Linked DNA regions of Mus musculus: regions 1, 2, 3, 4 and 5 are each reported to be linked to region 6. The links are microRNA targets in miRTarBase. Many come from high-throughput screens and were not tested one by one. Region 6 holds a microRNA gene; each other region holds the end of a gene's coding sequence.

Region 1 (5,074 bases), not on the chromosome of region 6:
GTAAATTTATGTCTTTTGACATCCATTAGTAAGGAAAGCCTAACACACTAATGTAAAAAACAACATGAGAGCTACCTCCTTCTCTTTCTCAGGTAAGAAAGAAAAACTTAGTATGATTTACAGAACTCATTAGAAGAATCACTTCTTCCCCCCCCCCCCCCCCGTAAAGTCACGTCATTTAGAAATACTGGGTCCCTAGGGTTTTGTTTGTTTGTTTTTGTTTTTTTAAACATTTACTTATTTATGTATAGTGTTCTACCTGCATGTATACCTGCAGGCCAGAAGAGGGAGCCAGAGCTCATTATAGATAGTCATGAGCCACCATGGGGTTGCTGGGAATTTAACTCAAGACCACTGGAAAAGCAAGCAGTGTGCTTAACCTCTGAGCTATCTCTCCAGCCCAGAAGAATCATTTCTATCTGAATTATATTCTGTTCAGATTTGGATTGGTTCTGTGGTTCTGGGGACCAAACCCAGGGGCTTCCTGCTAGGCAAGCCTTTCACCACTGACTTACTGATTAGACTTATGTTTTGGCTTTAAAAAATTTACTATACCTAATTAAGCTCACAAAGGCAGTTAAATATTCTACATTTAACCATATTGACAATGGCTAGATAGCTAAGCTCTAAATTACATATTTATGATACTATACATATCTTAAGCCCAACAGAGTTTAAGCATTCCACGCTCTTCCCAGGATCTTTCCCTACAGAACAGGTAGCTTTTACTCTGCTTTGGGAAATTCACTGCATTTAATTAATTACTTGTGTTTTCGAAGGCCTGACCTGCATTAGCATCAGCATGTCTTAATTAAACAAGAGAAACAGTGCATCCTTCTGTAAAAGGCTGCACTTCTCTAGAAGCCTCAGCAGCTGGCCAGACCACTGAAGCTCTTCCGCACATTGAAAGTGACCCATGTACTCAGTGTATGAGAAGGATACTGGTCCCTAACATTCTTATATGCTTTGGTGGGTTTGCTCACTGATAAGTGAAGTGATATAACATAGATATACCTATTCACAAATGTATATTTGGGGGACATCATTAGCCACATCTATAGCTCATATTTCACCCCATTTGAACTCAATCAAATTTACAAACCAAAAATCAGATAAAAAACCAATATTGCATACATTTGATCAGGTTAAGGAGGAAGATAAAAAAGGTTTTAAAATAATACTGAATACTCATTTCCTGGAAAGTTTCCTTTTTCTCTTTTGGAATCTTCTGGAATTAAGCAGAAAGAGACTCCACTAAAGGCTGTAAGCAGTTTTTTGAGGGTTCTCTGCATCTCAGTACAAATTTGATGCTGGATTAGGCAGTGTATATATGTGGGGGGAGGAGGGGGGGGACTCCAAATATTCTACCTGAAAATTAATAATCAAAAGTCTTTAGTTAGCTTGAATTTGACAAAATTTGCACAAGTATGACTTCTACGTGAGTATTGTATTTTGATACAAGTTACTTGTGGCTCACGAAAGAAATGATGGAAGGACCGGGGATGCAGCTCAGATGGCAGAGTGCTTACCTAGCACACAAGAATCCCTGGATTCTAAGTTCAGTTCCCAGCATCATATAAACTGGGCATGGTGGTTTATTCTTGTAGTCTCAGCACTCAGGAAGTAGAGGCAAGAGGTTCAGATGTCTGACATAATAATCTTCAGCTACACAGTGAGTTCAAGCCCAGCCTATGACATGGGAGACACTGTCTCACAGAGAAAGAGTAGGGCTGGAGAAATGGCTCCGCTGGTAGAGTGCTTGCCATGCAAACCTCAAGGCCTGAGTTTAAGTCTCTGGCACCTACATTAAGAGGAAGCAAACAACAAACAGCAACAGAGCAGCTATGGGTGAGCGAAATTAGTGACCTCCAAAACTGAGTTCTACCTCCAAAGCTGAGGTAGAGAGTAACTGAGGAAGATACCAGACATTGACATTTGTGCCTCCATGCCCATTTGCATACACTTGTGCATGCATCTGCATATACATGTGTGTGCACACACACAAGCACACACACAAACAAAACTAAAAGAGGGAGAGAGACAGTCAGTCAGACAGACAGTCAGACAGACAGACAGACAGACAGAGAAAGAAGAGAAAGAGGGTGGCCAATATTCTTGAACATTTGTCTTGTTTCGATGTAACTTACATGCTATTAAATCATGTGATTTTTAAAGAGGGATTGCTGAGTCATGGTCTCAATATGTAGCTCAAGCTGGCTTCAAACACTTCACCCTTCTCCCTTAGCCTCTTGTGTGCTAGCATTACATTTATCACCATGTCTGACAAAAATCATACTTTAGTATTCAATTCAGTTACATGAAACTGTATAGACATCACCACTACCCAATTGCTGAACATTTCACCATGCGTAGAATTTTAAAACAAATTTATACCAACACCATTTCTTCTCTTTATTCCTGGTTTGAAACTGAAGTGTTGCATGTAAGTGAGTCCAGCAATATCAAATGACAATGCAATGGGCACAGAGAGCATGGTCAGATGGGAGGCATGAAGTTGCAAGCTCCTGTGCACTGAACCTATGATCCCATACATACTAGGCAATGCCTGAGGTATACCCCTAGGCCCTTGTTTAGATTTATCCAGCAAAAAGCACATGTGTTGAGAGCAGAGTAACCTATGCACTCTTAGCTCTTCCATGCCAATCTGTACTTTTCTGCAATTTCCCTTCTTCAATATCATCAGATGTGGGAGAAATAATAGCACCAAATTGAAACAGCTTATTGTATGACATTTCTGGGTTTTGTTTTTGTTTTTAAATACTCACAGTCTTCCCAACACTCTTGCCACATGGCAATCTGGGCTTGACATGACCATTTATGCAATATGGGTTCCAATGGTAAAGAAGGAATTGTTACTGAACAGGTGTGAGCTTTCAGTGTCTTCAAGATCTTCTTTCTCTGAGTAGCCTTAGCTGTTCTGGAACTCACTCTGAAGACCAGGCTGGCCCTGAACTCAGATCCACCTGCCTCTGCCTCTGGAGTGCTGAGATTAAAGACATGTGCCACCACAGCCAGCTGGCATGTCTTTGTGTGTTATATGTGGGCACACATATGCCACAGTGTGAGTATAAAGGTCAGGGCTTTCTCCTTCCACTTGTGGGTCCAGGAAATGGAAGTCAGGTCATCAGCTTGGAAACGTGTGCCTTCACCAGACAGAGCCATCTCTCCAGACCTTCATTACTTCTTACACCAGATTTTCCTATATCTAAAGGATCAAAAAATCTGCTCATGGCCTGAATTATGTTGGCAATTATTACCCTGAAATGTAATTATAACTTGAAGACTGTGAGTTTGCCAAGTAGATCGCTGGAACCTACACATTATAAAACAGTTACAGAAATATTAATTACAGAATATATTAGAAAACTATAATAATACAAAAATAGCGATAAAGGGCATGTGACATGTGCAGATAAAAGTTACCACAGCATGGGGATGGTGGCACAGGTCTGGATAAAGATCAGCCTGGAATACAGAGCAAGACCCTGTCAAAGTGAAACCCCACACCAAACAAAGAGCCATACCCTACAATACTAGAACTTAAAACACCGATTTTTAAAAGTTTAATTTTATCTCAGTGGAAACTTTACAAATAATGTTATTGTTTATAAGTGTTTATACATGCCTGCTTTAACAGAAAAAGGGTGCAAGGCAGTTACAGTTCAGTTGTAGTACAGCTTCTTTGGGCTCCATGAGACATTTGTCGTCGTTTTATGTTGTGTTTTTAGATGGGGTCTCACTATGCTCCTGGTTTTAAACTCCTGGACATGAATGATCCTCCTATCCCATCGCATTGCCACATGGCAATCTGGGCTTGACATGACCATTTACGCAATATAAATGTATAGACCTGAACTAATGAAGCTATGAATGAGATAATTTTGATTCTCAAACTGCATGCAAATATCACTATTACCTATGATTTGTTTGTGGAAATCACATTACTGTGCTTGATACACCATTTGGTTTTTATTTTTTCTTCTAAATTTGTATTTTTAACATGTGCTATAGTCAGGGACAAGTTTGCAATATCCTCGAGAGTGTCTTGGAACAGTCCCACCTAAAAGTCTCTGTGGAAGTGAACGTGCACTGCTAAAACAGTACTTTTGGCATTTTCTGGTTTATTTTCCTCAATTTTGAAAGCAGAAAGCCACTTTCTTTTTCCCTTTCTTTCAGCTTCTCATGAAGATTCCCAGTATAAATTCAACAGCTGGAGTTACCTATAAATATACAAACTGAAAGAAAAGAAATGTTATAGTTGAATACTTGACTTTTGACTGTCTCAGTTGAAAACGAAGACACACACACATAGTCAGCTTGTCCATGTCTGAGTGGTTCAGAGTTGAACAGAAGCAGCTGAACTCACCACAACTGCTTATCTAGGATAAGTGAAGTCCTTTGTACCCCATACCTTGTATCTATCCATTGGGTCCTCCTGCTGCAGCTGATTCTCCCGCATCGCCTGATATTCTTTTTCATATTTCTTCAGCTTTTTGGTTGGTACCTGCAGTGTTTAGGAAAGAACACATTAGATAAGAACCTTATTTTGTTTAAAAGAAAAAAACACAAATACTTTTGTTTAAAGTATCTCCCAATTATGTTTCTTGTATTCTAAAACAGCATTTCCAACTCAAAGGTAAGAGTAAAAACCAGATTCTAGAATAGAGTCTTGAAGGCTTTTCCTGTAAAGGCCAGTGCAGTACACATTGCAGGCTTTGTAAACCGTGTAGCTGAGGTTAGAAACATTCAACTCCACTGTGATAAAAGGTGCTATGGTCAGTACATAAGCAAATGTGTGTGGCTCTGTCCCAATGATACAAAAGTAGTCATAGTTAATCCCTGTTCTACCATACTGCTGATGTTACAACATTCTGGGAATAAATGTTATTAATTTTAGCTATTGTTACATACAATTTATTCTACCATACTGAGAAACAAATTTTTTATACAATTAAAAAATTGACTAATAATATCATAAAATAAAAAGACTGCAAAGTCTGATGCTGAAACCTGAAGATGTGAGATGATTATACCAAATAAAACAGTAAAATTA
Region 2 (5,074 bases), not on the chromosome of region 6:
GTATGTCTTGCCTGTTAAAATATTGGTTGAGGCCGGGCAGTGGTGGCGCACGCCTTTAATCCCAGCACTTGGGAGGCAGAGGCAGGCGGATTTCTGAGTTCGAGGCCAGCCTGGTCTACAGAGTGAGTTCCAGGACAGCCAGGGCTACAGAGAAACTCTGTCTCGAAAAACCAAAATAAAAAACAAACCAAAATATATATATATATATTGGTTGAAAAGTTTTTCATTATGAACATTTTTTGTATGACACTGTGTCTTAATATCTTGTATGTCTGTCATTTAAGTTTTCAAACCACATTCATGACTTTATTTCGATTTTTGTCATTGCAGGCAAGAAGACAGCAAGACCCTAGTCCTGGTTCTAACTTAGGTGGCGGTGATGATCTCAAACTTCGTTAAGTGGAGCACAGCTTATGTGCCCCATCTCTACACACACTGCTTCTAGTTGGTATAAATAACTCATTGGGCGACCAGAAACTGTGACAACTGGAGGGACTGCAGTTGGTTTCATGGCCTGAGGCAGTGAAGACGTCACCCACTGCCATGGTTTTGCACTATAATGCCTGCATTTCTAATTTTTAAAATATGTAGCCAGTAATAATTTGAAATTTTTTTCTATGCAAGCTTATCTTGTTGGCATTATTTTAGTTGTATCGAAAGTATATACTTTCTTCATTTTAACTTAAAAGCTCATGTCATTTAGAAACAAGATAAGAAATTAAAATTTGTATCAGGGTTGCTTAACATTCTTTTATACTTTCAGACGAGTTGGTTATACAGCTTTCCTCCTTAGATAAGGGTTCTTGGTTTTTGTTTGTTTTCTCTACATCATTTCGTGTTTTTGTATTCTGCACCATTTTACAAATGAAGATGTGTTTGCAGTTATTTTTTCCAGCTATAAACCTAGAATAGAGCTGTCTGCCACAGCCTCCTAAAACAAACGTTTACAGTTGTTAAAGCCACAGTATCCTTTCAAATGCTGATAGTCACCCTATCCCCTTTAGACAAAAATTCACATTAGTATTAAATTTTGTCTCAGACCCTGTTTCAAGGTATATCTTGTAATCATGAGTTTGGGTAGAGATGCTCTTCACAGGTGAGAATGCTCTACAGAAATGCCCAAAGAAGCCACAGACTGGCTTCTGTTTTATTCAGGGATTTTTTTTTTAATCAGTCAGAAAAAGGATACTGGAACTTGTTGTATGTAACAGCATATTAAACTGGAGGCAGTGATAAATCAGCTACACAGGTAAATTGTGTTAAAATAATGTTTAAGATAGCTGCTTTCATGTGTATTTTGTATTTTGTATTGCATGCTTTTGTAGAAACAAAATTGGGTGATGAAGATGAGTCTTAGAAAATGTTCATCTGGGCAGAAGATGCATTTCTCCCATTGATTCCGGGCAAAACATTCACAGATATAGATGATGGTATTTTACAAAAGGACTATTAATAGTGCCTTTTGAGATGAATCAATGTAACGATATTTTTAAAACAGGCTTAGTGTCAAATTGCAATTTTTTAAATATAAAACTGGAAAAAGTGCTAAGTCATTGGCACATGCTTACAATACTTTCCGTGGTCGTATTCATTAAATGTTACTACATTTCTGAATTTTTGCAAAAATGTATTTTATCATAAAATGGCATTATTTTAGAAAATTTTAAAAACTGACATGGTCAATTCAGAAAAGTCTGAATAAGGTCATTGCATTTAAAAAGCATATAAAGATACTTGATTGTGGAAGTGTGTCTTTCATTGTATATAGGTCTTATAATTCATAAACAAGTACCCTGTATCTCAAAATAAAAATATTTGTTATATATTTGAAGTCGTGCATGATAAGGATTGTGTTTGAATTATTATAAACAATAATGTGTTACAGAAGCTGATGCTGACCTTGTGTTACTGAGCACTATGAATGAATTTGCTTGGTATTTGGTGTTGTACAGCTCACATGTTTACACTCTCAGTGCCCTGATGCCTCTCGGGAGTTACCTTTTTAAAGTGATCCTTTCTTTTTTAAAATAACATCTCGGTGGTACATTTTCTCTGTTGCTTCTCGCCAAGAGCTTCCAGTCCGGCAGTCAGTAAGATCACATGGTGTTAATGTGGCCGTCCCTCTGTAAATAGCAAATGTTCCTTACTGGTTCTGCACTGCTTCTGTCTGTCTTAATGCTGGCGTTAAGATCATAAACTCCTTTTCTTCGGTAGTGCAGGCTTTGAAAATTAAGTTATTGATGCAATTTCATATTTTTCATAATCTGTATTTAAAATGACATCATTGCATCATTTTTTAAAGATTCATCTCCATTAAAACTTGCCTTAAGCTTCCAGATTGCTTTGCCGTTAGCTTTACTGTATATTTGTATGTTTTATTTACTTTCACATTAAAATTCTGTGTACTGAAAACAAAGTCATGACTCTTTATTGATATGTGATGATTTCTGTCTTACTAGCTTCAAGTCTTTGATCCTTTATAACAGTTTTTTTAAGGACAGCAACAACAGTGCCATCTAGTGGTCATATCTTCTAACTCCTTTAAATCAATGTACAGTAACTTCCCATTACATGATGTGGTTTTCAAAAAGTCTGAAGTTGAGTGTGGATATAGGAAGTAGGGGCAGGAGGATCAAGAGTTCAAGGTCATTCTTGGCGAGTTCAAGGCCATCCTGGGCTGTTCTCAATAACCAAAATAGGCTAGAGAGATGACTCTGAAGTTAAGAGCTTTAGTTATTGCTGAAGGTTATAGTAGGAACAGGAGTGTGATTCCCAGCACACAGAATAGTCGGCTCACACTCACCTCAGTACCCAGGAATCAAGCGCCTCTTTCTGGCCTCTGTGAACATAGCGCACATCCACATGGATACACAGATGATTGATAAAAAACAAAAACTTACAAAGGTTTTGTAAGTATAGACTATGAAAATGGGGGCGGGGAGGCTGGAGAGACAGCTCAGTGGTTAAGGGTACTGACTACTCTTCCAGAGGTCCTGGTTTAATTCCCAGCACCTACATGGCAACTCTGTATATAACTCCAGTTCCAAGGAATCTAAAGCCCACATATAGCCTCCTTTGGCTCAGGTACAAATGTGGCACCCAGACATGCCTGTACATAACACCCATACATACAAGAAATAAAATTTTAAGACAAAAACTTAGGGTCACATCTGTAACCCTGTTCTTAGGCAGCTGAGACAGGAGGATCACCATGGATTTATACCATAGAGACCAGATCTAGAGAAAGCCCCTCCCCTATCCACCCCCAGGCAACAACAGTCTCAGGGGTTTATCCATTTTCTAAGGTATGACCTTAAAACAGTGACCTCGGGGGAAATTTCTAACATTATATATCCTTCCAGGCTATTTTTAGAAATTATTATGTGGGTATTAAACCCAACATTCCTAGAACAGGGATCTACATCAGAAAATTACTTTAGAAGCATTCCATAGGTTTGGTTTGTAATAAACAGGTTTTATACAAATAACAAAACACCTGCCCGGCGTGGTGGCACACGCCTTTAATCCCAGCACTCGGGAGGCAGAGGCAGGCAGATTTCTGAGTTCTAGGCCAGCCTGGTCTGCAAAGTAAGTTCCAGGACAAAAAAAAAAAAAAAAAACCTTATATACTAAATTGACACAATTAGGATTTTGAACCAGTATCAGGAAGACCAAAGCAGGAGGATTGTGAATTTAAGACCATCCTAAGCTATGCTACATAATAAGACCCTATTTAAAAAAAAGTATTAAACAATTTTAAATTTCAACTATAAGAGAGGGTGAGGTGAAACCACTGAAGCAGACCAGTTCACAAGTAGAACGGAAGGTTTGCTGGGGGTCAGACTGCCAAGGCTATCTGTCAGGAGTTGGGGGACAGAAGAGCAAAATGGGGGAGAACAAGCCATTTTTACTGTGTTAACAGTGGGATCTTTGAGCTGCTGATATAAACTGGATTGACCAGGACCTAGATGCCTTTACCTGAGGTAGTTGACCTTTAGGGCAGTCGATTAAGAGAGGCTCCTGGTGGCTTAAATGAGACTCCTGATAAATAGAAACCCAGAGTTTCAGACAATGCCACAAGCACTGCCCTTTGGGGGGGGGGGGGGAGCTTTGGACCTAACACTATATATTAAAATGACAATATTTAAGGTAGCTAGCTACGAAGGAATTTTAAAATTGCTTATATTGCTGCTATCAATGTTAGCGAGATTATAAATCAGTAATGAATTATAAAATGGAAAGAGCTCAAAGAAAATGTTGAAACTATATTAATGGTTTTAAAAAGTATTAAAGTATCTGAGGATGGAAAGATAGCTCAGCAGTTAAAAGTACTTGCTCCTGCAGTGGATCAAGGTTTGGTTCTCAGCTTTCACATGGTGTCTCAATAACCATCCTACTTCCAGCTAGCAGTGGCTAGAACAATCTTTTCTGAACTCCATGGGCACTAGGCATACACAGTATTACATATAATACATGTGCAAGCAGGACACTTAATCATTGAGGATAGTTTAGAAGAAACAATATAAAGTGACTGCCCTAAAAAGACATTGTCTCTGACCTCCTGGAACCTAGTCTATGCCCAAAATTGATCCAATGTAGTAGCAACCTTTAAATTATATAGGAAGCCTTGGCAGTTGCACTGTCTGTGCTGGTCTGGGTAGTTAGAGTCAATCAACCTGAGGAGACTTCCAAGCCGAAAGCTACAATCAACTAGAGAAGATACTGAATGCACATAGCCGGCTGGTCAGAGCTTAGCAGGTTTGAAAGAGCATCAGATAAGGGCTACAGCATGGGTGAGACAGGAGCAGTGCTCAATGTATTATGTCAATCAAATGGAAGACATTTGGACCAGGACAAGAAGTGGCCAACAGATTAGGAGGTTTGAGAAATTTTTTGGTTAAAGATCAAAGTGATCTTTTAGATATAGTGGCCTGGTGGGTATGGAGACTCAGTGTTAAGGGGGAAATGTATAGGCACTGCAATTTTTAAAAAATTGTACCTTTTTTTTTTTTTTTTTTTTTTTGGTTTTTCGAAACAGGGTTTCTCTGTATAGCCCTGGCTGTCCTGGAATTCA
Region 3 (5,074 bases), not on the chromosome of region 6:
TTTGTTTTCCTTCCACCAAGTGGATCCTCCGGATCGAACGGAGGTCGTCAAGCTTGAGGGCAAACACCTTACAAGCAGAGTCATCTCGCTGCCCCTATTTTGGTGGTTTCTTTTGCTTTTATTTAAACTTTATTTGTATGAGTGTTGTTTACATGTTCACGTGTGTGTGTGTGTGTGTGTGTGTGTGTCCCATGCATTCCTGGTGCTTGTAGAATTCAGAAAGCATCATCAGATCCTACGGAACTGGAGTTAGAGATTGTTGTGAGCCATGTGTGTGCATGCTTGAGCCCTCTGCTGGAACAAGTGTTCGTAAGCATTGAGCCATCCTTTATATTTTTACTTTTATTTTATTTTAATTTTTATATGGAATTGTCTCTAAATCTAGCCTCCACTAATGAGGGTAGTAGTGGGTCAGCGATGGATCACACTGGCTCCCGAAAGACTTCCCACCCTTACTACCCACAGTTCCCTGGAATAGGCTCCTCCCCAACTTTGACTTCTGCTTCAGAGAGCGTCAGGGTGAAAAGGCTCCAAGAAAACTCTCTTGGGCCACCTGTTCCTATCCTTGGACTTTCTGACATTGACCTGGTGCTTCTGGTAGCAGCTCACCTTCATCATGAGTGCTACAAATGTCTAGAATTCTGAGATGATGAGGACCCTGTCAGGCAAGGTCCCCCATTCCAGAAGTGGGACAGAGTGGAACTTAGTGATTCCCTTGTTCCCTGGTTACCCCACGATCATGGTAATTATCTCTATTGTCCTCCCGCCCCGAGTCTCCCTGTGATTGTGTGCCTCTACTGCTCTGCTTAATCGCTACCTTTGTGGCAGCTTCATCCGTACAGATGTAGAAAGAACCAGTGAGAGGCACCTAGTCCCTCTCTGTGCCTGGGTGTCTTCATCTCTAGAGGGCTGTGAGCAGGCTAAGCCTTAAAATGCCCATCCCGTCTGTACAGTGGTTTTACGTTACTGCAGCCACCCAATTGTAGCAACCAGCAGTTTGAAGTTTTGATCACAAGACTATTCTTTTTTTTTTTTTTAAAGATTTATTTATTTATTATATGTAAGTACACTGCAGCTGTCTTCAGACACTCCAGAAGAGGGAGTCAGATCTCCTTACGGATGGTTGTGAGCCACCATGTGGTTGCTGGGATTTAAATTCCGGACCTTTGGAAAAGCAGTCGGGTGCTCATACCCACTGAGCCATCTCACCAGCCCACAAGACTATTCTTAAAGGCGGGCGGGCAATACCGGCTTGTCCTTCTACGAAGTTTCCTGCTTGGGTGATAGATCTTATCACTGCTTTGAAATCACCTGCTCTTCTCTCTTTTTTTCCCAATAGGCATCAGGTTTCTGATGTCTGCAGAGTAAAGGTCATGGATGAATTGTATCCAGACTGGGTACTTTGTACCCGAGTGACTGGCTCAGCAGAGTGGCTTATGTAGAAGGGATGCTACAGTAAGCCCAGCTAGCACCAGACTTCTGAGTCATGGGCACCTAGGAACCATTGGCTAGTGGTATCCCTGCCCAATCTGGACCAGATATTGTCTCTAGGAAAGCCCCCCCCCCCCCCGTCCCTTTCTATGAGCAAAGCAATACTAGCTTGGTGAGTCAGATCTCTCTCTTGCTTCCTCTGTATCTCTCATACCTTTGTCTCTTATTTAGTCATAAGCGGCTTCATTACTGTCCTGGAAGAATAAATACAGGCTTGATTTTTTTTCCTGTTTCATCAAGATATAACAACAAAAAACGACAGGAAAAATACAGACACAAGCTCCTTAATTTGTATAACAGAAAAACCAGCAGCCAGCCATGTGGCACAAGCCTGCTTCCCAGTTAGCACTTGGAAGGTCCAGTGGAAGAATCAAAAGTTCAAGGCCAGCCCTGGCTCCAGGAAACTGAACTTCTTCTCCCTAATCCTAAAACAGATAAACAGCAGCCAAGCCCAGCTGATAGGAAATACTTAGCCTGCCTCTGAAAGACACACGGGGCAGAGAGAGGCACATGTTTCTGGGACTAAAAGAACATAAGGGTCAAACCATCTACTCTTTTGGAGTCTGTTTTCTTACCTTAAAAGCAGATGGTCTGGAAGATGTCTCAGTTGATGCAATGCTTGCTTTGCAAGCATGAGAACCTGGGTTTGACCCTCTAGTATTCTTGCAAAAGCAGGTGTGGCGGGGCATGTCTGTAATGCCATCCCTGGGGATCACTGGTCATCCAGCCTAGCATAACTGGTGAGCCCTGCCAGACCATGGTTTTTCTCAAAAACCAAAGTGCATGGTTCTTGAGGACCTCCAGCCTCTGTATGGATCCCCACAAGCCTCCAGCTGGACAAAAGCTAGAACAGACCTAATAAATCTGCTGATGGGGTTGCGACGCAGCGTGAAGTTGCCTCTAAAGCTAAAGAGAGTCCAGGCACCTTCAGTCCCATGTATCACACTCAATTGTTGTGCAGAAGGGGGAAGGGAAAGGAAGGGAGTACTCCCTATGGCCTGCAAGGAGGAAGGAGCTAAAGCTCTAACCCCTGACACACACTGTGACATCAGAACTCCTCGTACCTGCTTCCTGTGGGCTGACAATGTGGCCTTGTGGGCACGAAGGGGAATCAGGGTAGGTAGGGATTTTAAAAATCAGACTTTGTGGAGGACCTGGGTTGGGTTCCCAGTACCAGTTTGGGCAGCTCCCAAATGCCGGTAACTCCATCTCCAGGGGCTCTGTCCTCTTTTGGCCTTTGTGGGCAACTACAGTCATGTGCACATACACACAGGGGCACATTGCATACACATAATTTTAAAAATCTTTTTTTTTATTATAATTGAACTCAGGACTTCTGAAAGAGCAGATAGTATTCTTAACCTCTGAGCCATCTCTCTAGCCCATTAAAAAAAGTCTTTTATAAAAAAAATCTAACACTTATAAAATGAATTTTGATAAGTGTACATGCATGCATGTATGTGCACCATGTGTGTGCCTCCTACTCTTGGAGGTCAGAAAAGGTCATTAAATCCTCTGGAATTGTAGTTACAAATGGTTGTGAGACACCATGTGGGTGCTGGGAATTAAACCAGGATCTTTGTGGTGTGAATGTGCTTGGCCCAGGGAGTGGTACTATTAGGATGTGTGGCCTTGTTGGAGGAAGTGTATCACTGTGGGGGTGGGCTTTGAGACCTTCCTCCTAGCTGCCTGGAATCCAGTCTTCTGTTTGTCTTCAGAGCAAGACAGAACTCTCAGCTCCTCCTGCACCACGCCTGCCTGGATGCTGCCATGCTTCCATTTTGATGATAATGGACTGAACCTCTGAACCTGTAAGCCAGCTCCAACTAAAATGTTGTCCTTCAAAGAGTTGCCTTGGTCATGGTGTCTCTTCACAGCAATGGACACCCTAACTAAGAGTCCTCTAAAGTACTCTTAACCGCTGAGGCATTTCTCCAGCCCTTCACATTCCAATGTATCTATAAGAGGAAGAACAATTGCTGGGTTCACATGAAAGAACACAGCAGGGCTCAGCTCAGCAACAGCCTGTTTGCCTGGTGCATGCAAGGCCTGGGGCTCCACAGCCGACACTGCAAACCAAACCAAACAAGGTGGACCCACTCAAGTCAGGGGATCTGGACGCTCTCAACGGCAAGGATGCAGGGTTCCCGGCATCACGACCTCCCAGTCGTGAGATGAATTATCCTAAGACGCTGACGGGTGCCCTGGCCTTGTTGTTTGAAAGCAGAGGAAGCAGGAGGCTTCATTCATCTTTCCCAGGGCTCCAGGCAGGAGTGCAGGGGGCCCCACCCCAGTGAACAGGCAGTAACAGGGCCAAGAAAGAAAGCTTATTTATATTATAGTAAAATTAAAAAGCAGCATCTTTTTTTCCATAAAAGAAACATTATATGACATAAGTCAAAATTTTCGAAAAAAATAATTTCCATCTAAACCTATAAAATATGAGAAGGGTTGCAGAGAATAAGAATGAACGTTTTTGATTTATTCAAAGTTTTGATCTAAAACCTTAATGAAATCTACCACCTTTATTACAAGGGGACCGACGGTTCTTGAATGGAAAGAAACAGGGTCGAGAAAGATGGCACTGGACACTGGAGAAGTGACCCACCGGCTGAGGGCGCAGGAGGTTTGGTCCGTGGATCGCTGCCTGGCCGAAGGCGCGCTGTGTTGAGACTGGACGTTGGAGCTGCTTGAACAGTATAAATTTGCGTAAGAAAACTAAGGATGGCCAATAGGGCATAGACTCTATTTCAAGTCAATGATGTCTTCCTCTGAGGAGGCCATGAGCTGGAAGGGGCTGCTGCCTGAGCCCGGGCTGCCCTCTTTATCCACCCCAGCGTCCTGCTCAGAACTTGCCCAGTGGTTGTGGCCCTCGGGATTGGCTTCTGATGCCGGACTTTCCAAAATTCCTGATGGGATCCTGGAAGAGAGAAGCTGCTGTCACAGGGTGGGAGGACCGAGGTGAACAAGTGCAGGGTTTCACTTCTTAGGGAGTCTGTGATCCCACAAATGCCCCAGAGCCCTGAATGCTGCCCTCCACCCTGTCCACGTGACCTCCTGCGGCCTCCCTAGCACTCTGTGAAGCTGGTCCCTTCTTCTCTGTGTCCCTGGCCATGCACCGTGCTCAGAGCAGTGGCTCAGAGTCCTGTTATCTGTGCCCGTTCTTACCATGCGGTCCAAGCCAGGCCTGTGCTGCTTCCTCTGTTCTTGACCCTTAGCCAAGTGGGCCTTCTACCTGCCTTCCTACCATGATTTATTGTTGTTGTTGTTTATCATTATTTTTATTTTATGCAAATTGATGTTTGGTATGCATGTATATCTTTATACCTGTGCATCTCTGTGCCCTGAGAGGCTAAAAGAGGGCATTGGGTCCCCTAGAACTGGAATGACAGATAATTATGAGCTACCATGTGAGTACTGGGAACTGAACTGAGTCCTCAAAGATCAAACAATAAATGCTGTTAACTGCGGAGATATCTTTCCAGCCCCTTAATATTATTACTGTGAACCAGGGTCATGCTAGCCTTGAACTTACAATGATTCTTCTGTTTCTACTTCCTAGGTGCTGATATTCCAGGCCTGA
Region 4 (5,074 bases), not on the chromosome of region 6:
TTTTTTTAATACATAACTTAAGAGCCTGGAGAGTTTTAACTCGAGTCCAGTCTCTAAACAAGGAATATTCTTGTTTACTTTAAAAATGGAAACAACATATAGTTCCATTATAATTGTTAAAAAGTTAGCTTTACAAACATGGGAATTTTAATTTAAAAAAAAATTCTTAACAAAACTATACAGTGTACAAATTACTGTCTACAAGGTAGGCGGTTCATTAAGAAGGCCAAGCTCTTCTCTCTCCTCGCAGCTTCACAGACTCATTCACATACTTTATAATGGAGCTGCCCACCCGAAAATTACCCGATAACTATATTGCTATACTTAAGGTTTTGCCATGTCTTTATGTACAGTCTCCTTCACTGCCTCTCAGGTTTTTTTTCCCCCCTTAGGCAAGTCTCGACTGCTCACGTCACTTCGGGAAACACACACTTTAGAGGCACTGTGAGTGGTGGGCTGCAAAGCAATACAACAAAGGTTGGACAGTGCCATGAGCTGGTGGTGGGAGACACCACCTCCTAACAGATGCCCTTGGGTGACCTTCACCATCCTGAAGCTCTGCAGTCTGGGTAAGGAAGGGGCGTGCAAGACCTGCAAAAGTGGGGCCCTTCGTCAGAATATACTTCCTGGTTTTAAAAAAAAATAGAAGGCTAAACGTGGATTCGAGATTTTCTATAGTAGTGCTTTTTTAATAAGTTTATCTCAAAGAAAAGAAGAAACATTGAACTAGGTTAAAAAAAAAAAAAAAAAAGGAACAGTTGCCCTAGGCCTCTGTACCCAAGAGGCAGGCAGGGATGCCCACAGTGTGCCATGTACTTTAGCAACAATTGTTCATTCACGGGTGACAAGGAGAGGGGACTGCCTGGAAAGAATACTGTGTCCTGTAGGGTTGCACTCTTCAGCAAATAGGTCAGAAAGACACTATGAGCTTGGCTGAGAGGATGTGTTATCTGCAAAGCAAGTAACAGACAAGGCTGGCCTTTCTTAGAACCTGCATCCTAGAATCCCACTGTGCTAACCAGCATGTGGTCATGAATGGACTAGTCAGATTTAATTCCCGGGCTTCTGAGCATCGTTCTCATGAACTCACTATTAAATGATCTGCTATGCATACACTTGACAGTTTATTTACTAGGGCAGGGCCTGGGGTGGGGCTGGGGGTGGGGTCAAGAGAGCTTCTTTACAGCCGACTGCGTATGTCACTAATTCCTAAAGATCTCCTTGGAGCAATGGATACACTCAATAGGACCAGGTGGGGGATGGGGAAAAGACAAAATAAAATTGGTCTCTATTCACCTGTAGTCCTCAGGGGAAATTAACTCAAATATATACTTGAAGTACCACCCGTTCAAATCAACCCCCACCATCATTATCAAACACACTTAATTCATCCACAGAAAAATTGGTTGCTTAAAATTCTATATTTCCCTCTGCTCCACTTTCCAGTTTACAAGGGCAGGTAAAATAAGAGGATTGATTTATTCTTGTTCCTTAAAAACTGAACTTTGATTTTACTCTATCAGTCCAAATACATCCAAGAAGAGCAACCCTCTCTCTAGTCAACCTTCTGGATGTCAAAGAAGAAGATCCTAGGTGCAACACCATTCATTTTGAAGTAGTAAGTCACAGGAGCAGCCTATCCTGTCATTAACAAAATGACAGAGGGCGGGGAGGGACTAGGGGAGCTCTCCCTCCAGATGGGGGAATGTGTTTGGTAGAAGAAAGCTTATTCCTGTGTTAAACTCAAAAGTGTGAAACAGCCAACATCTGCTATGTGGGCACTTCAAGAAATGTCTTTGCCAAATATGAGACAGGCTCACTTTCCACTGTGGTTTCAGGAACTTTCAGGAAAAAAAAAAAAAAAGAAACAAAAAACTATCAATAACAACTAAAATAAGACAGGGCAGTTCCTCTAAGTTGGCCTCTAGGAGGCTTTTGCTGTGCTTGCTTTTTCTTCCTGGTTTCTTAGCTTGGAAACCAGAAAGGAGTTCAGCTTGCACTCCAGGTGGGAAAGTACGGGGAGGGGTGGAGGGAGGGAAACCTGTTTAAGTTGAAGTTTGTCACAGTAGGCAGAACAGTTGCTTTGCAGCCCAGGCCCATCTCAGGGTGCAGTGCTTCACTGCTACACTGTAAAGGGTTAAAAATCCTCCCACCCACCCCTGAATATATATATATTTATATATGTATATTAAAAAAAATCCCCTGTCCATCTCTCAGTACACAAAAGGACCTCATCACACTGCAAAAATAGCAGTACCCACTTTGGTCAATTAAAACAAACAAACAAATAAACAAACAAACAAAAAAAGCATACATTATTTCTTTTTTAAATCTGTGTACTTACCTATAATAACCAATACAGCTAAAAGCACTACCTACATAGGCAAAACTTGGTATTGCATAATTCGTATAAATTTGAAACCCCTCCCCCCCAAATATTAATTGGAAGATGAAAAACATGAAAGGTTAATAGAAAAAACACCAAAAATACTGAAAATATTGCTGGTCGATTACAATTTTTAAGCGGCAACTATACACAGCCATGATATGCTTTATAAATGTGAGATAAAGGTGTAACTGTCTAAAAAATCCATGATGTCACACATTTTTCTTCGTCTGGAGTACAAAATATTTTGTCATAAAAATGGTAAAGATTTAAAACGATAATAAATGCAGCAAAACAAGTGTAGTGATGTCACTTTTGTGGTTTTTTTTTGTCTTTTGTTTTTTTTTTTTAGATTTCAAGGCAAGGCACGTAATGTGGACATTATATCTTCGTGCAAATTAGGATTACTGGAAAGAGTACTTTTAATTAAAATTTTAAGAGACACAGAGGCAGCATGTGTCTGCCCATGCACACTATAGATCTGTCAATACGAGAAATGTGTTGAACAAGGCTAATGTCCGAAAGCACCATGCATGTTCCCAGCACCCTGATGGCACTTCTCTGAAGAGCGAGCGGGTTTTCCTAGCCTACCTGGCATTCCCAGCCTGTACACGGGGAGCTTTACCCTTGTGACATGGATTTCCCTGCCTCTTTGTCTCTACGATGCAGATTGTATAGAACCGTTTGTACACCCTATGGGTTCTTGATGCAACCAGTAATTTTAAATAAATAATCTGACCTCTGAGGAGGCTGCAGCTAAGCCAACCTAAGTGCTGTGTTTTCAATATTTTTTTTATTTTTTATTTTTTTTCTGTTCAAGCACATGATTTGTCTTGATTTAATGCCTTATTTTAAATGCCCTCAAAAACTGAGGGGAAAATAAATTCGCTCAAAATTATTTTAAATTCTTTTTAATCCCCTCAATTTAGAGTCCAAGGGCTGAAGGACTTATAATCATGATTCCCCTTTAGATATAAATTTATAAATTGCACTTGCCTCTGTTAAGTGTTTCTTTTGTGGGGAAAACATTATATTACTTTTTACTGTTGCATGCAGAGGTAACCCTTTACCCACATAGAGGCATTTCTTCCATAGAGCCTTTGAGTTCAAACTGTTTTTTTTTTCCCTATTTTTCTTTTTTCTCTTTTTTTTTTTTTTTCCTTTTTAAGATTTCAAACTGGGTTACACACTGGAAAAGGCTGGGTTAAGGGCCAAAATTTAATAAATCTGTACGGATAACTAAAGGCTACAGAGATTCTTTTATATATATATATATATATATATATAATTTTAACTTTTAGAAATCAGAGTGCTTATAAAATGGCTGGCTCATGGCTCTGTCCCCAGCACCTCTGACGCCGCCTCCTAGCCTTCGTTGTTGAGATAACCAGGAATAGTGACTCCATGCGTAAACAACAAGAATACTAACCAAGAAAACTAGCTTATCATGCAAATATTAAGGCATCTAGAAAGTCAGTTAAAATATATTGTCATAGAGACAGAACATCTATTTCCCAGCGGACTTCATGTAACAAAGGCTACGGTGCAGGGGCTGCAGTCTAGCATCAGTGAGATGTCATTGACCCTTTCCTGTCACTATAGTCTCAACCTTAAGGGAATTAGTGACTGTAAGTGCTGCAATGCTGGTCTACCGTCTTCTTTCTTCAGTTTCTCTCCTTTCTCCCTGTTGTCCAGTCTTCCTCTTTTCCTTTGTTGGGTGTTTTTCCCCTAATTTTCTTATACTATGGTTGTGGTTCTTTCCCCTCAGTTGCTTGTCTCCGCTTGAAGGAAAGGCTCTCCAATTATGTTCAAACCATAATTTTGGACATTTGCCGGTAAGATGGGTGTCCTATTTGACACTTGAAAAGGAACCAAGCTAGCCCAGGTACCAGGACTGTTGAGAGGAGACGGGAAGAAAAAAAGAAAGAAAGAAAAAATAAGACAATGTTAAAATCTCCAGCCATATCATAAATATAAATTCAAAATGCATTAAATTACAACTATTATATTTTTAACTTTTTAAACCAAAATTTTAATAAAATTTAATAATTAATAGCATGCATTGACTTTGCTATATTATATATATTATGCTTATATACATATATATGTACATACATGTGATAACTTCTAGATTATACACATCATACAGGTGTAATCTATATGATCTCTTGCTTCCATGAAAAGACCTAACTACTATGCAGAAAAACACAAAATGAACTATATTCACTATATATAATTGCTGAACTCTAGTTAATTAAGGAGACTCTTTTTTAAATATCTGGCCCATTTCAATGCACTGTATGCAATATGATTTTCATTGTTCAAACAAAAAAGACGAAAAGCATAAATTTGTAGCCATACTAGACTACTGTAGTTTGCTAGATACATTAGTTGTGTTTAATCTTTAATTCATAAGACATTCTGGGTGAGGTGGGTTTATCGACCTGTTGGGTTACATACATTTGAAAATGTAATGAACTACATATTCTTTTCTCTCACGTGAGAAAATAATAGAGTTTCAGGCATGTGCAATATATAGTGAAATACCTAATGATCACACATAACTGAAGAGTTTTAGACAACCAAGTGGATGTCTATCCTCGACCACACAGAGCCCAGCTGGTTGCATTCTGTACAAAAGCCCACTGTGGAGGGTGCAGCTCGGGGGCTGCTGGGTTCTCTGGCGGT
Region 5 (5,074 bases), not on the chromosome of region 6:
GCCGGCGACAAGGAAGACAGTAGGACTGAGTATGTGTGTGACAGCCCAACAGAGGGGCCAAGCAAAGACACCTCTGCAGACACAGGCCTCCTCCTTCCAGGAGCCGAGGAAACCATGTGCCACCAGCATGAGAGTGAGGCTAAGTCTCCTCAGGCTGCTGCTGCGGGGGCCACTGCCCCTCCGACTCCCAGGGACACACTGCAACTCTCCATTAAGCAGAGGCTGGCTCGACTCCAGTTGCCACCAGAATTCACCTTCTCTGCTGGCCTGGCTGCAGAAGTGGCCGCCCGGTCCCTGTCCTTTACCACCATGCAGGAACAAACTTTTGGCGACGAGGAGGAAGAACAGCTAGTTGAAGGCGGTGAAAATGAGGTGGAGGAAAAATAAAAGCCAAGATGAAGCGATGGCCTTGATTGTTCTTTTTACAAAAGTGTTCTAGCTGCAAGACTGGAAAGAGAAATGAGTGTGTGTTTACTCTCTATAAGGCTACGGCGTGAATTTACAGGGTGAATACTGATTTGAAAACCTGACCTGAAACTAGTAGATACCTGTCTAGTCAGATCCTTTAGGCATAGGAGAGAAAGGTAAGGGACTTTTTTAAAAAATAAATAAATAAACTGCTGTTTTATTTGTGGCAAAACTGATAATCTTGGCAAATCTTTAAGTACTTTTAATAAGACATGAATTTATCACTTTTTGCCAAAACTTTGCTGCCACAAGGTAACTAGGGTGATTGTCTTCCCGAGCAGAAACATTTAGAATGAGCCCTTTCTACTGTGTCCTTGCAGTGTGAACTGCAGCGGTCATGTTAATACATTGTTCGTACTTTATTTTGTTTATACCACTCGTAAAACAAAGAGACAGGTTCTAAATAAAAGTATTTAATTACCACAACCGATGTGTGCTGGGGTTTGGAACTGGAAAGTAGTTAGCAGGGAGCTGGGACTGCAGCGTATCTTGGACATTTCTCACGGGTCATGCAGAGGTTAAGAGGACAATGTCCTCTTAGGGGACACCCCATGATGTCCAAGCGCTGTCACTCCAGCAAAGGCCCCAGCCCCAGCCCTGCAGGAACTAATTTACATCAGTTTACTGGAAGACAACTGTGCCTCTGCAGTAGGTAGGTCCTGTGCTGTCTTCTAGCCTGGCCTGCCTTACTAAGACTCAGGAAACGCGTCAGCTATCTTGGAAAGCATCCTTGTCCCTTTGTGCTTCATCGTGAATGCGTCTCGAGATGCTTTCCAGAGACCAGTCTTGTCCGCTTTGTGCTGGAATTGTGTTTTCAATGAAATTTGCAGAAACAGTCTCCTTCTGAAACCTGTTGCCACTGTGCGCTCCCAGACTTTATAGGCATTCTTCTGTGAGGAATGTAAGAAAGAAAAACAAACAAAAACAAAACAACAAAACTCAGTTGATGCTGCTGTTTCAGGAGGAAAGTATCTGACTTCCTGTAACTTACTGCTTTTAGCAGGAAGCTTACTTCTTCTCAAGGTTTGTTGTTGTTTTTGGAACTGTTTCTTCTCCTGAGGAAAATCTTTCCCTTTGTCTACACTGTTGGTGATGTTGCCTTTGCTGATACTTAGCAGTGCAGCATGGCCAGAGCCGTCAGTCCCTTAAGTCAGACATGGAAGATGCTTAACTTCAAGAGAAAAGGAAGTTTTTTTAGGGAAATTTTGTTAAGCGTTCTCTTAATTTTTAACACAGGAAAACTTAGTCATTTTTAATTCTTTTAGTCTATTTTGATTCAACCATAGCAATTTCATAGAAACCCATTCATAATCTTATTTGCCAGTTTTTATAGCATGATTCATCTTTTTGGGAGTAGTATTCTGACAGCTTTTACTACAGATACTGCCAACATTGGTTTTACCAGGATCAATCTAGAACTCAGAAGAAAAAAAAAGCGTGCTTTTTGTTTTGGGGTCACTCATGAAAACAGAATTTTTACCCTTGGTGCATCTGCAGATGGGCAGGTCGGGACAGTAAGTGGTCTGTGGTCACCTAGCAGATGGGCAGGTCGGGACAGTAAGTGGTCTGTGGTCACCTAGCAAGCCTCAAAACTTTTTCTCTGTTTCTGTAAGGCCCTGATGTCTGTCAGATGCAGGGCCAGAGTCCTGGCTAATCTTTCATTTGCAGTCCTCTGTGATTTTTTTTTTTTTTGGTTTTTTTGGGTTTTTTGGTTTTTTGTGCAAGCTATGCATATTATCTAACTTCATAAAGCCCTTGTTGTCCTTCTTAAAACTAATTAATAGTCACAGCATCTGAACCTATTAGGAGTTGATGATAAGTGAGTTAGGAAGAGAACACACATTTAAGGCAGATTGCTAAGGATGTTTAAGAATACAGATTTCAGACCGTGACGCGACTTGTACTGGTGATGCCAGCACCCCAGGTGCACTGTTAGGAAGGCTACTGCGAGTCCGAGGCCAGTTGAGCGTGCTCCAGGATAGCCAGAAATACACTGTGCGAACCTGTCCAGGAAGAAAAGAAAAAAGAAAGAAAAGAAAACAACAGGTGCCAGGTGTCTGCAAAAAGAGGCGGGAGTTTGAATCCCAGGCCTTTTGTTCAGAGGATTCAAGTACTGTGACCTTATCATCTAGGGAGAGTCTTCTCAGGAAAACTGTAATTCCTGGAAATGCAGAAAGAAATGTTGGTTTGGAGGCTGGAGAAGTTATAAATGTATAGCTCCATTTATTAAAGTAGATAGTAATATCCTACTTTATATACTAAAAGACAGTTGCTTGAATGGTAAGCATAAGAAAAGTCAATTTCTGATCCATTTAAAAGACTAGAACTTGGCTGGGTGTTGATAGAATTGACCTCAGGTTGTGTCACTCAGATATTTTCTTCCCATGCAAAACATGAATCATGCTTCAAGTTGCTAAATGAATAGAAACACTAGGGGGAGGGCTGTTATCAGTTAGCCATAGCATATTGCTTTTATACTCAAATAGAGCAAGGATACCAGAACCAAGTCCTGAAGCCAAAAGTGAGTTTTTTCCAGATCTGTGTATGGGGACTTATTTGTACTTTATGCTTAAATTAGAAAAAAAGATTCAAAAAGAAAAATGTAGGAAATAAAAGACAGCAAAATGTCCAGTATAGTGACCGTTCATTGTCTTCGTCAGCTGGTGACTAACTTGAGTCCCCTCATCTCTCAGGGAACAAAAGCAAGCCCATGTATTTAGTCCTTGGACTTAACAGTCTGCTTACAGGATCACGTCTCCTTTTCTCCCTTAACTCTGGCACGTACCGGAACTAGCTTAGCCTGTCCTTTGGGAACCGGAACTAGCTTAGCCTGTCCTTTGGGAACCGGAACTAGCTTAGCCTGTCCTTTGGGGACATCAGTTCCTTTGGGGAAGAATGCACACGTCCCCTCTCGGGGACAACTGGGATTGATAACGTCAGGCACTCCTTTGCTGCGAGATTTCACATTGCTTGCTTTTTGAGTCGTGTCTGTTTTTTTCACAGTTTCTCTTACCTTCCCCTATAATCCGCCGTGTTGTGTGCCTGCCTTCCGCACTAGGCCCCTAATTTGCTGCTTTTAATCTGCTGTGGACTGAGAAACCCGATTGCCACGCTTGCTAGAACTGTGTCTAAACTAAGAGTAAGTAGACTGGAAAAGGCCGAGAGCTTTTCTGTCGGTCGTGTGCATGAACCTTGTATTGCCTGGTTTGCTGCTTAGCATTCTTGTGTGTGCATTTAGTGTTTTACTAAGAAGTGGCTAAGACATTACTTGGTTAAAAATGTGATTGCCGTGTATTTGAAATATTAATTTGGTGTTTGTATGCTGATGTGCTAGGTCTCTTTATCAATGAATGTAACTGTAGAAGAAAAACCGACTCTCCCCTTTGTATGTCACTGTGTGTGTTTCAGAAGAATGTTGGCCATTTGTTTTGGTTAATTAGTTTTCACTCAGTACACAGGCTTAAAGTTTATGTCATTATTCCGAATTCTGCATAGCATGTCTTATTACCAAGAGTTACTGGTTTGAAACTAAACCTGACTCATTTAGTAAGAACTGGCAGACTTGACAGGGGAATAAATGATTTGGACAGCCCAGTTCTCTAGCAATGTATGAAATACACCATAATCTTTGCTATATTACAACGGTTATCAAGGAGCTGGGGAGATGACTCACTGGGTAAAGTGTCCTCTAAACAAGTACGAGAATGAGAACCTTCACTCAGATCCCAGTGCCCATATAAAAGAGCTGGGCATATATATGGCATACATCTATAACCCCATGCCTGGGGTTAGAGTCAGAAAAATCCCCAGAAAGTCTCTGGCCAGCCACTCTGGCCTCATCAGTGAGAGTGGTCTAGGGAAACCCTAAACATCAACTCAACCTCTGACTTAGCCCATATACACACATGTACATACACATGAATATGTGTGTGCATACCCTCTTGTATACATGTACACAAAGACACAAATTCATCATCATAATCATCATAGCCATTGGTTTTTTGAGACAGGGCTGCTCTATATTGCCTACCCTGGAACTCATTATGTAGACAAGGCTGACCCTGAGATTTGCCTGTCTCTGCCTGCCAAGTGCTAGGATGAAAGACATGGACTACTACAGCCAGCTCAAAATGGTCATTATTAACACGGGTTGTTATCCTCTGGTACACTAAACGCCAAGAACTGTCCCTTTATTAAGTTCCATTTGACTTGACTGGGCTTCAGTCATCATGCGTTCAGTTTTGGTAGGGATTCCTCCGTTCCTGTTACTGCAGATTAAGTGTGCGTGAATTAGCGGCCCTTGTCCGCTCTCACGCATGCCTTCCGACCTGCTGTGAAGACTAGATGACTCTGCTAGTTAAGCTGTGTAAGGTAAGAGCAGGCAGATGCAGAGTGACAGGCATACTGCTGACGCTCACTGACTCTTCTGAAGGATTTCTTATGACGTGCTGGATTACAGTCTTTGACCCAGTGAAATTGCTGGGTTAAATGCCTACTTTCAATATGAAAGTATTGTTATACAAGATAATTTTCCCCAACATCTTGCCTTCTCTAAAGTTGGTTCTATACCTGTAACTCTTTTGCAGTGATTACTGTCATATATACT
Region 6 (5,074 bases):
GCAACCTTAAGAGACCCAGGGGTAAGGAGTGTGACACTGCTCACGGTGTTACAAGGAACTGCCTGGGGATGAGGGGGTGCAACTCTGGTGGTCAGGATCCCCAGTGAGCCCGTTCTCTCCCCCACAGGGCAGGCTTTGGCTGCTTTCTGCCTAACAGAGCCCTCGAGTGGATCCGATGTAGCCTCCATCCGAAGCTCAGCCATACCCAGCCCCTGTGGAAAATATTACACTCTCAATGGGAGCAAGATCTGGATCAGGCAATCTTCCGTTTCTCTTCTACCCTTCAGCCCAGTGGCCTGACCCTGCTGCTCTAAACCCTATACTAACCACCTCACTCTTCCACAGTAATGGGGGCCTGGCTGACATTTTCACTGTCTTTGCCAAGACGCCAATTAAAGATGCAGCCACGGGGGCCGTGAAAGAGAAGATCACAGCTTTTGTAGTGGAAAGGAGCTTCGGAGGGGTTACCCAGTGAGTATGGGGCAAAACAGAATCAAGGATGGGGACAGCACTGGGCTCTCAAGAGCAAATAGTCAATACAGGCCACGCTGGGGCTATCTCTGTACAAGAGGCACCCACAGGAGGTGAGCAGTTTTGTTTCCACTGGGGGAACACAGGCTAACAGGCCATAGCTAGATATCCGTAGCCCCTGGGGCACATAGGCAGTGCCCTGTATCCTTTTTATAGTCTGGGGAGTTCTCCCCTGATCATGAGACCCGAAAAGGCCGTTTTCCCCCACAGCAACCTGTTCATACCTCAACTTTCCTGCCCTGCCTTTTCAGTGGGCTCCCTGAAAAGAAGATGGGCATCAAAGCATCTAACACGTCAGAGGTGTACTTTGATGGAGTGAAGGTGCCATCAGAGAATGTGCTAGGAGAGGTGGGAGATGGCTTCAAGGTTGCTGTCAACATCCTCAACAACGGAAGATTCGGGATGGCTGCAACCCTCGCAGGCACCATGAAATCCCTCATTGCCAAGGCGGTGAGTCCCAGCCCAGTCCCTAGCTAGCACATGTCCCTGACTGCCTCAGAGCGCCGACACACACACATGCACACTCGACCATCGGCACAGTTAGGCCTCCAGCCCGTCCAGGTGGAAACTGAAGAACCACAGTGGGGTAACATGCGCCCTCTTGCAGGTTGATCATGCTACTAATCGTACCCAGTTTGGGGACAAAATTCACAACTTTGGGGTGATCCAGGAAAAGCTGGCTCGGATGGCTATTCTGCAGTATGTGACTGAGGTAAGGGCCTCCTGGGCCCCTTCCCTGGAGCCCTATGGCTTTCTTCACAGTTGGGTCAGACTACAACCCCCAGCAGCACCTGGGGCAGTGGGTCTCCAGCTTTACACCAATGCCCTAGGGGATGCGAGGAGGCATAGTCAGTTCTCTTCTGGAGGGTGGTGCTGCTCTGCTAAATGCTGCCCAGATGCACCAAACACGACTTTTAACCCACCCCTTTACAAAGTCGGAAGCCTCGAAGCCCCTGATATACCAGAGGGTCACATATTGGACATATTTGACCTGACCAGGAGGCTAAAGTGAATTCAAGGGTTGGAGGAGTAGATCAGCACTGGTCTTGAAGGTCTGAGCATTAGCCATTCTGTCTGATGCAGCCCTTCCCTGTTGTCTTCCCCATGTCCCGACCATGCTCCCTTAGTCCATGGCTTACATGCTGAGTGCCAACATGGACCAGGGATTCAAAGACTTCCAGATAGAAGCCGCCATCAGCAAAATCTTTTGCTCGGTGAGGACCCAGGTGTGATGGGAGGGCGGAGTCCAGATTAGGACCTCAGCTCAAAAATCCAACTCATCTGGTTCTCTGTCCTCAGGAGGCGGCCTGGAAAGTGGCAGATGAGTGCATCCAAATAATGGGGGGCATGGGCTTCATGAAGGTACAGAGTATTCCTCGGCAGGGGGGGGCATCTGTTCAGAGTGGACAGGCACATCTCAACAGAGGTTTCTGTGTCTTCCTGCGTGCCAGGAACCAGGGGTGGAGCGTGTGCTCCGAGATATTCGAATCTTCCGGATCTTTGAAGGGGCAAATGACATTCTTCGACTGTTTGTGGCTCTGCAAGGCTGTATGGTAAGAGGAAGGAGGATGAGAGAGAGCAGCTGGGGAGGACACTGAGTCCTCACTGTCGCCGTCCCCCTTCTCTCCACAGGACAAAGGAAAGGAACTCACTGGGCTGGGCAATGCCCTGAAGAATCCTTTTGGAAACGTTGGCCTCCTGATGGGAGAAGCAGGCAAACAGCTGAGACGGTACCTCATGGGCCGGGGCCAGGGTCAGAGTCAGGGTCAAACAAGATGGGAGGCCGCAACTGACCAGTCACTCTTCCATCTCCTCTCAGGAGGACAGGAATCGGCAGTGGTTTGAGTCTGTCAGGGATTGTCCACCCAGAGTTAAGTCGCAGTGGTGAACTGGTGAGTGAGCCTTAAAGCAGAGCCTGCGGTGGCTGTGCGCTGCCTTCCTCTCCTGAGCTCTGTCTGTGACTCTTGTCTCTTCAGGCAGTGCAGGCTCTGGATCAATTTGCCACCGTGGTGGAGGCCAAGCTGGTGAAACACAAGAAAGGGATTGTCAGTGAGTGAGCTCTGCAACCCCCTTCCCTCCCTGATTCCCTCCCTCCGACTAACAGCCCCACCCTCATCTACCTGACAGACGAGCAGTTCCTGCTGCAGCGACTGGCGGACGGCGCCATTGACCTCTATGCCATGGTGGTGGTTCTGTCCAGGTAAGGCGGCAGCGAGGGACGCTTGGCAGGCTAGAGCCACAGAGGAGCTGGGCCAACACCAGCACTCAGGATCATTTTAACCTCTGTTTCCTCACAGAGCCTCAAGGTCCCTGAGTGAGGGCTACCCGACGGCACAGCATGAGAAAATGCTCTGTGATAGCTGGTGCATTGAGGTGAGCCTTGGAGCTCCCCAGTACAGGTGGGCCTTGGAGCTCCCCAGTACAGGACGGCCTGACCGTCCCTCCCCTTCCCTCTCCCCAGGCTGCAACTCGGATCCGAGAAAACATGGCCAGTCTGCAGTCCAGCCCTCAGCATCAGGAGCTCTTCCGGAACTTCAGAAGCATCTCCAAGGCCATGGTGGAGAATGGTGGCCTGGTCACCGGTAACCCCCTGGGAATCTGAGACTCCCAATCAGGCCCTGGCAAGGTCATGTGCCTTCTCTGATGCCAAAACCCTTTATGGGGGTGATGGAGTACTTATTGCCTTAACAATAAATTTTCTACCAAGTCACTGTCTGCCGTGAATGTCACTGCTCCCTCCTCTCCACTGCCTGCCTCGCAAAGAAAGGAGCCAGAGGCTTGGGGAGTTGGCCTCTATTTGCTTTATTTGGTGTTTTGTACAAGTGACTAAAATAAATAGAGTAACAAAGGCAGCTACACAGTCCCCAACACACCACCAGCCTCCTTGGACTGCTGTCTGGGGTACCCAGCCCACACCTTCTTCTTCCCAGGGTACCACTGACCACCACCCACCCTCAACATGAGAGCTGACTAGGCACCTGGAGGTGGCGGTCATATTCTGGGGTTAGAAGGGATTCTCCATATAAAAGAGGAACTGTCTATTTAAAAAAATACTCCCCCAAATATAAGAAAGTCTATTTTAACCCCCCAAAAAGCTTATAAAAAATAAAGCTAAAAATAACCAAAGGTCCCCATCTACCCCCGAGGAAGAGGGGGAAGGACCAGGCACTGCTGGTGAGAGTCACAGTGGCAAAAACGTTTTGGTAGGCACCAGCCGCCAGGCTGAGCCCAGGCACTATGAAGGGCACCAGGCTGAAACTTGCCAGGCCAAGGGCACAGACCCAATGTGGCCTCAAGATGGGTCCCTACATAACATCCACAAAAAACTCACTGGGGTTGCCCATGGCCATGTGGAAGCTCTGACGGCTAGCTGTCAGTTCTGGGGGCACGGAGCCCAGGTCTCTGACTGGAGGGGCACCAGGGGGCTGCACTGCTGTGGAGACAGGGGGTGGGGGTGGAGGCATCATAACTACCATCATGGGGTTATAGGGGAGAGCCATGCCAGATGGGGCTCCATAGGGATGGAGCCCGGGAAGAGCTCGGAGATTAGGAGGAGCGCCTGTCGAGCCCCTGGATGGAGGAGGGCCGCCATCACCAGTCCCACCAGGCTCCCCACCCCGCCGAAGGCTGCCTCCCCGGCTGGAGAGTTCTGACTCACTGCCACTGCCGGACTTGGACTCAGGGGCCCGTTCCTCAGGCCTGCCTGTGCGCCCAGCCCCCCCATCGCTTCTTGTCGACCCGCTGCTCCGGCTCCCTGTTGGAGGGCAGAGGTGACGAGGAAAATGAAGCTCAGCCCAGAGTCCTCAGGATCCCAGTCCCTGCTCTTGCCTCTCCTCCCCGAATCCGCTCTACTTGTGCCCACTTTCTCTGGCTGTACTGGTACGTGGGAGTGGGTCACTTACCCTCACTGTGCTGGCTGCTGGCACTGCCTCCACCATAGGTGTACGAAGAAAGCTCGTGGTAGGGTGGAGGCTGGGGGCTGTAGGGGTGTGGCGCTGGATACTGGTAGGAGAAGGTGGGCAGCAGGGGCCAGGGAGTAGCTCCAGGCAGAGGTGCCAGGGTATCCTGGTCTGAAGCCCCACTGGAACCGTCATTGTCATTCAGAGAGAGGTTAACTAGGTCTGGAAAAAAATGGAAGAGAGGTCCCTGCTTTAGGAGGCCAGGATTCCTGAGAACAGAGAAACCTGAGCCATTTCCCCAGAGCTCCCCACGAGACAAAAGCCAGAGACCATGATGGCTTACAACAGGAAACTCTGCTGCTCTGGCAGAGAAACAGCCAGGACTCTCACCAATAGCCCCAAAATGCTTTTGTGAGCCCCGTGCAGCACTCTTTCCCTTGGGGATGCAGCTCAGGTACCTCGCTTACTCAGCAGTACTACTCAGCAGTACCGGGGCACACATCAGCCTGAGCTCCTACAGCCAGACCTGCTGACTTACAACTCTCACAGCCACCACTGAGGTCCCCGAAGACATAATAGCACTGCTCAGAGAAAGTAATCTTGTTGACGGTGTGCCGGATGAGTCCCGCCTTCAACAGCCCACT

The links. Region 6 holds the annotated microRNA mmu-miR-324-3p (CCACUGCCCCAGGUGCUGCU, at 1,315-1,334, opposite strand). A microRNA usually pairs through its seed, bases 2 to 8, with sites in the 3' UTR of a target mRNA and lowers its output. Matches are read on the target gene's strand: a 7mer-m8 pairs with bases 2 to 8, a 7mer-A1 pairs with bases 2 to 7 and ends in A, and an 8mer does both.
Region 1: the mRNA of Rabgap1l is a reported target of mmu-miR-324-3p. The part of its 3' UTR that is shown has no 7-base or 8-base seed match.
Region 2: miRTarBase lists Cbfb as a target of mmu-miR-324-3p. Seed matches in the 3' UTR shown: 8mer at 519-526 and 8mer at 1,226-1,233.
Region 3: miRTarBase lists Garnl3 as a target of mmu-miR-324-3p. The part of its 3' UTR that is shown has no 7-base or 8-base seed match.
Region 4: the mRNA of Nfib is a reported target of mmu-miR-324-3p. Seed matches in the 3' UTR shown: 7mer-A1 at 2,117-2,123 and 8mer at 360-367.
Region 5: miRTarBase lists Vezt as a target of mmu-miR-324-3p. Seed matches in the 3' UTR shown: 7mer-A1 at 5,051-5,057.

The regions. Positions count from the first base shown.
Region 1 is chr1:160,253,011-160,258,084 of GRCm38, forward strand. It overlaps Rabgap1l (RAB GTPase activating protein 1-like), which reads right to left. Exons shown (of 21, transcript NM_013862.5): 20 at 4,433-4,525; 21 at 3,562-4,256. The coding sequence ends at 4,242. Among named protein-coding and RNA genes, the nearest start is that of Mir1927, 40 kb to the right of the region's middle.
Region 2 is chr8:105,215,574-105,220,647 of GRCm38, forward strand. It overlaps Cbfb (core binding factor beta), which reads left to right. Exons shown (of 6, transcript NM_001161458.1): 6 at 331-2,416. The coding sequence ends at 353. Among named protein-coding and RNA genes, the nearest start is that of D230025D16Rik, 7.1 kb to the right of the region's middle.
Region 3 is chr2:32,982,420-32,987,493 of GRCm38, forward strand. Garnl3 (GTPase activating RANGAP domain-like 3) reads right to left here. Exons shown (of 30, transcript NM_001355200.1): 30 at 3,806-4,411. The coding sequence ends at 4,237. Among named protein-coding and RNA genes, the nearest start is that of Slc2a8, 2.9 kb to the left of the region's middle.
Region 4 is chr4:82,292,532-82,297,605 of GRCm38, forward strand. Nfib (nuclear factor I/B) reads right to left here. Exons shown (of 12, transcript NM_001113209.2): 12 at 1-4,280. The coding sequence ends at 4,151. Among named protein-coding and RNA genes, the nearest start is that of Nfib, 210 kb to the right of the region's middle.
Region 5 is chr10:93,965,506-93,970,579 of GRCm38, reverse strand. Vezt (vezatin, adherens junctions transmembrane protein) reads left to right here. Exons shown (of 12, transcript NM_172538.5): 12 at 1-5,074. The coding sequence ends at 387. Among named protein-coding and RNA genes, the nearest start is that of Mir331, 4.2 kb to the right of the region's middle.
Region 6 is chr11:70,008,355-70,013,428 of GRCm38, reverse strand. It overlaps Mir324 (microRNA 324), which reads right to left and starts at 1,386; the gene lies at 1,298-1,386. Dvl2 (dishevelled segment polarity protein 2) reads right to left here. Exons shown (of 15, transcript NM_007888.4): 13 at 4,969-5,074; 14 at 4,434-4,652; 15 at 3,320-4,285. The coding sequence ends at 3,837. It overlaps Acadvl (acyl-Coenzyme A dehydrogenase, very long chain), which reads left to right. Exons shown (of 20, transcript NM_017366.3): 8 at 128-257; 9 at 346-471; 10 at 783-981; 11 at 1,139-1,243; 12 at 1,659-1,745; 13 at 1,831-1,893; 14 at 1,983-2,084; 15 at 2,164-2,261; 16 at 2,351-2,423; 17 at 2,508-2,580; 18 at 2,659-2,731; 19 at 2,829-2,904; 20 at 2,993-3,246. The coding sequence ends at 3,133.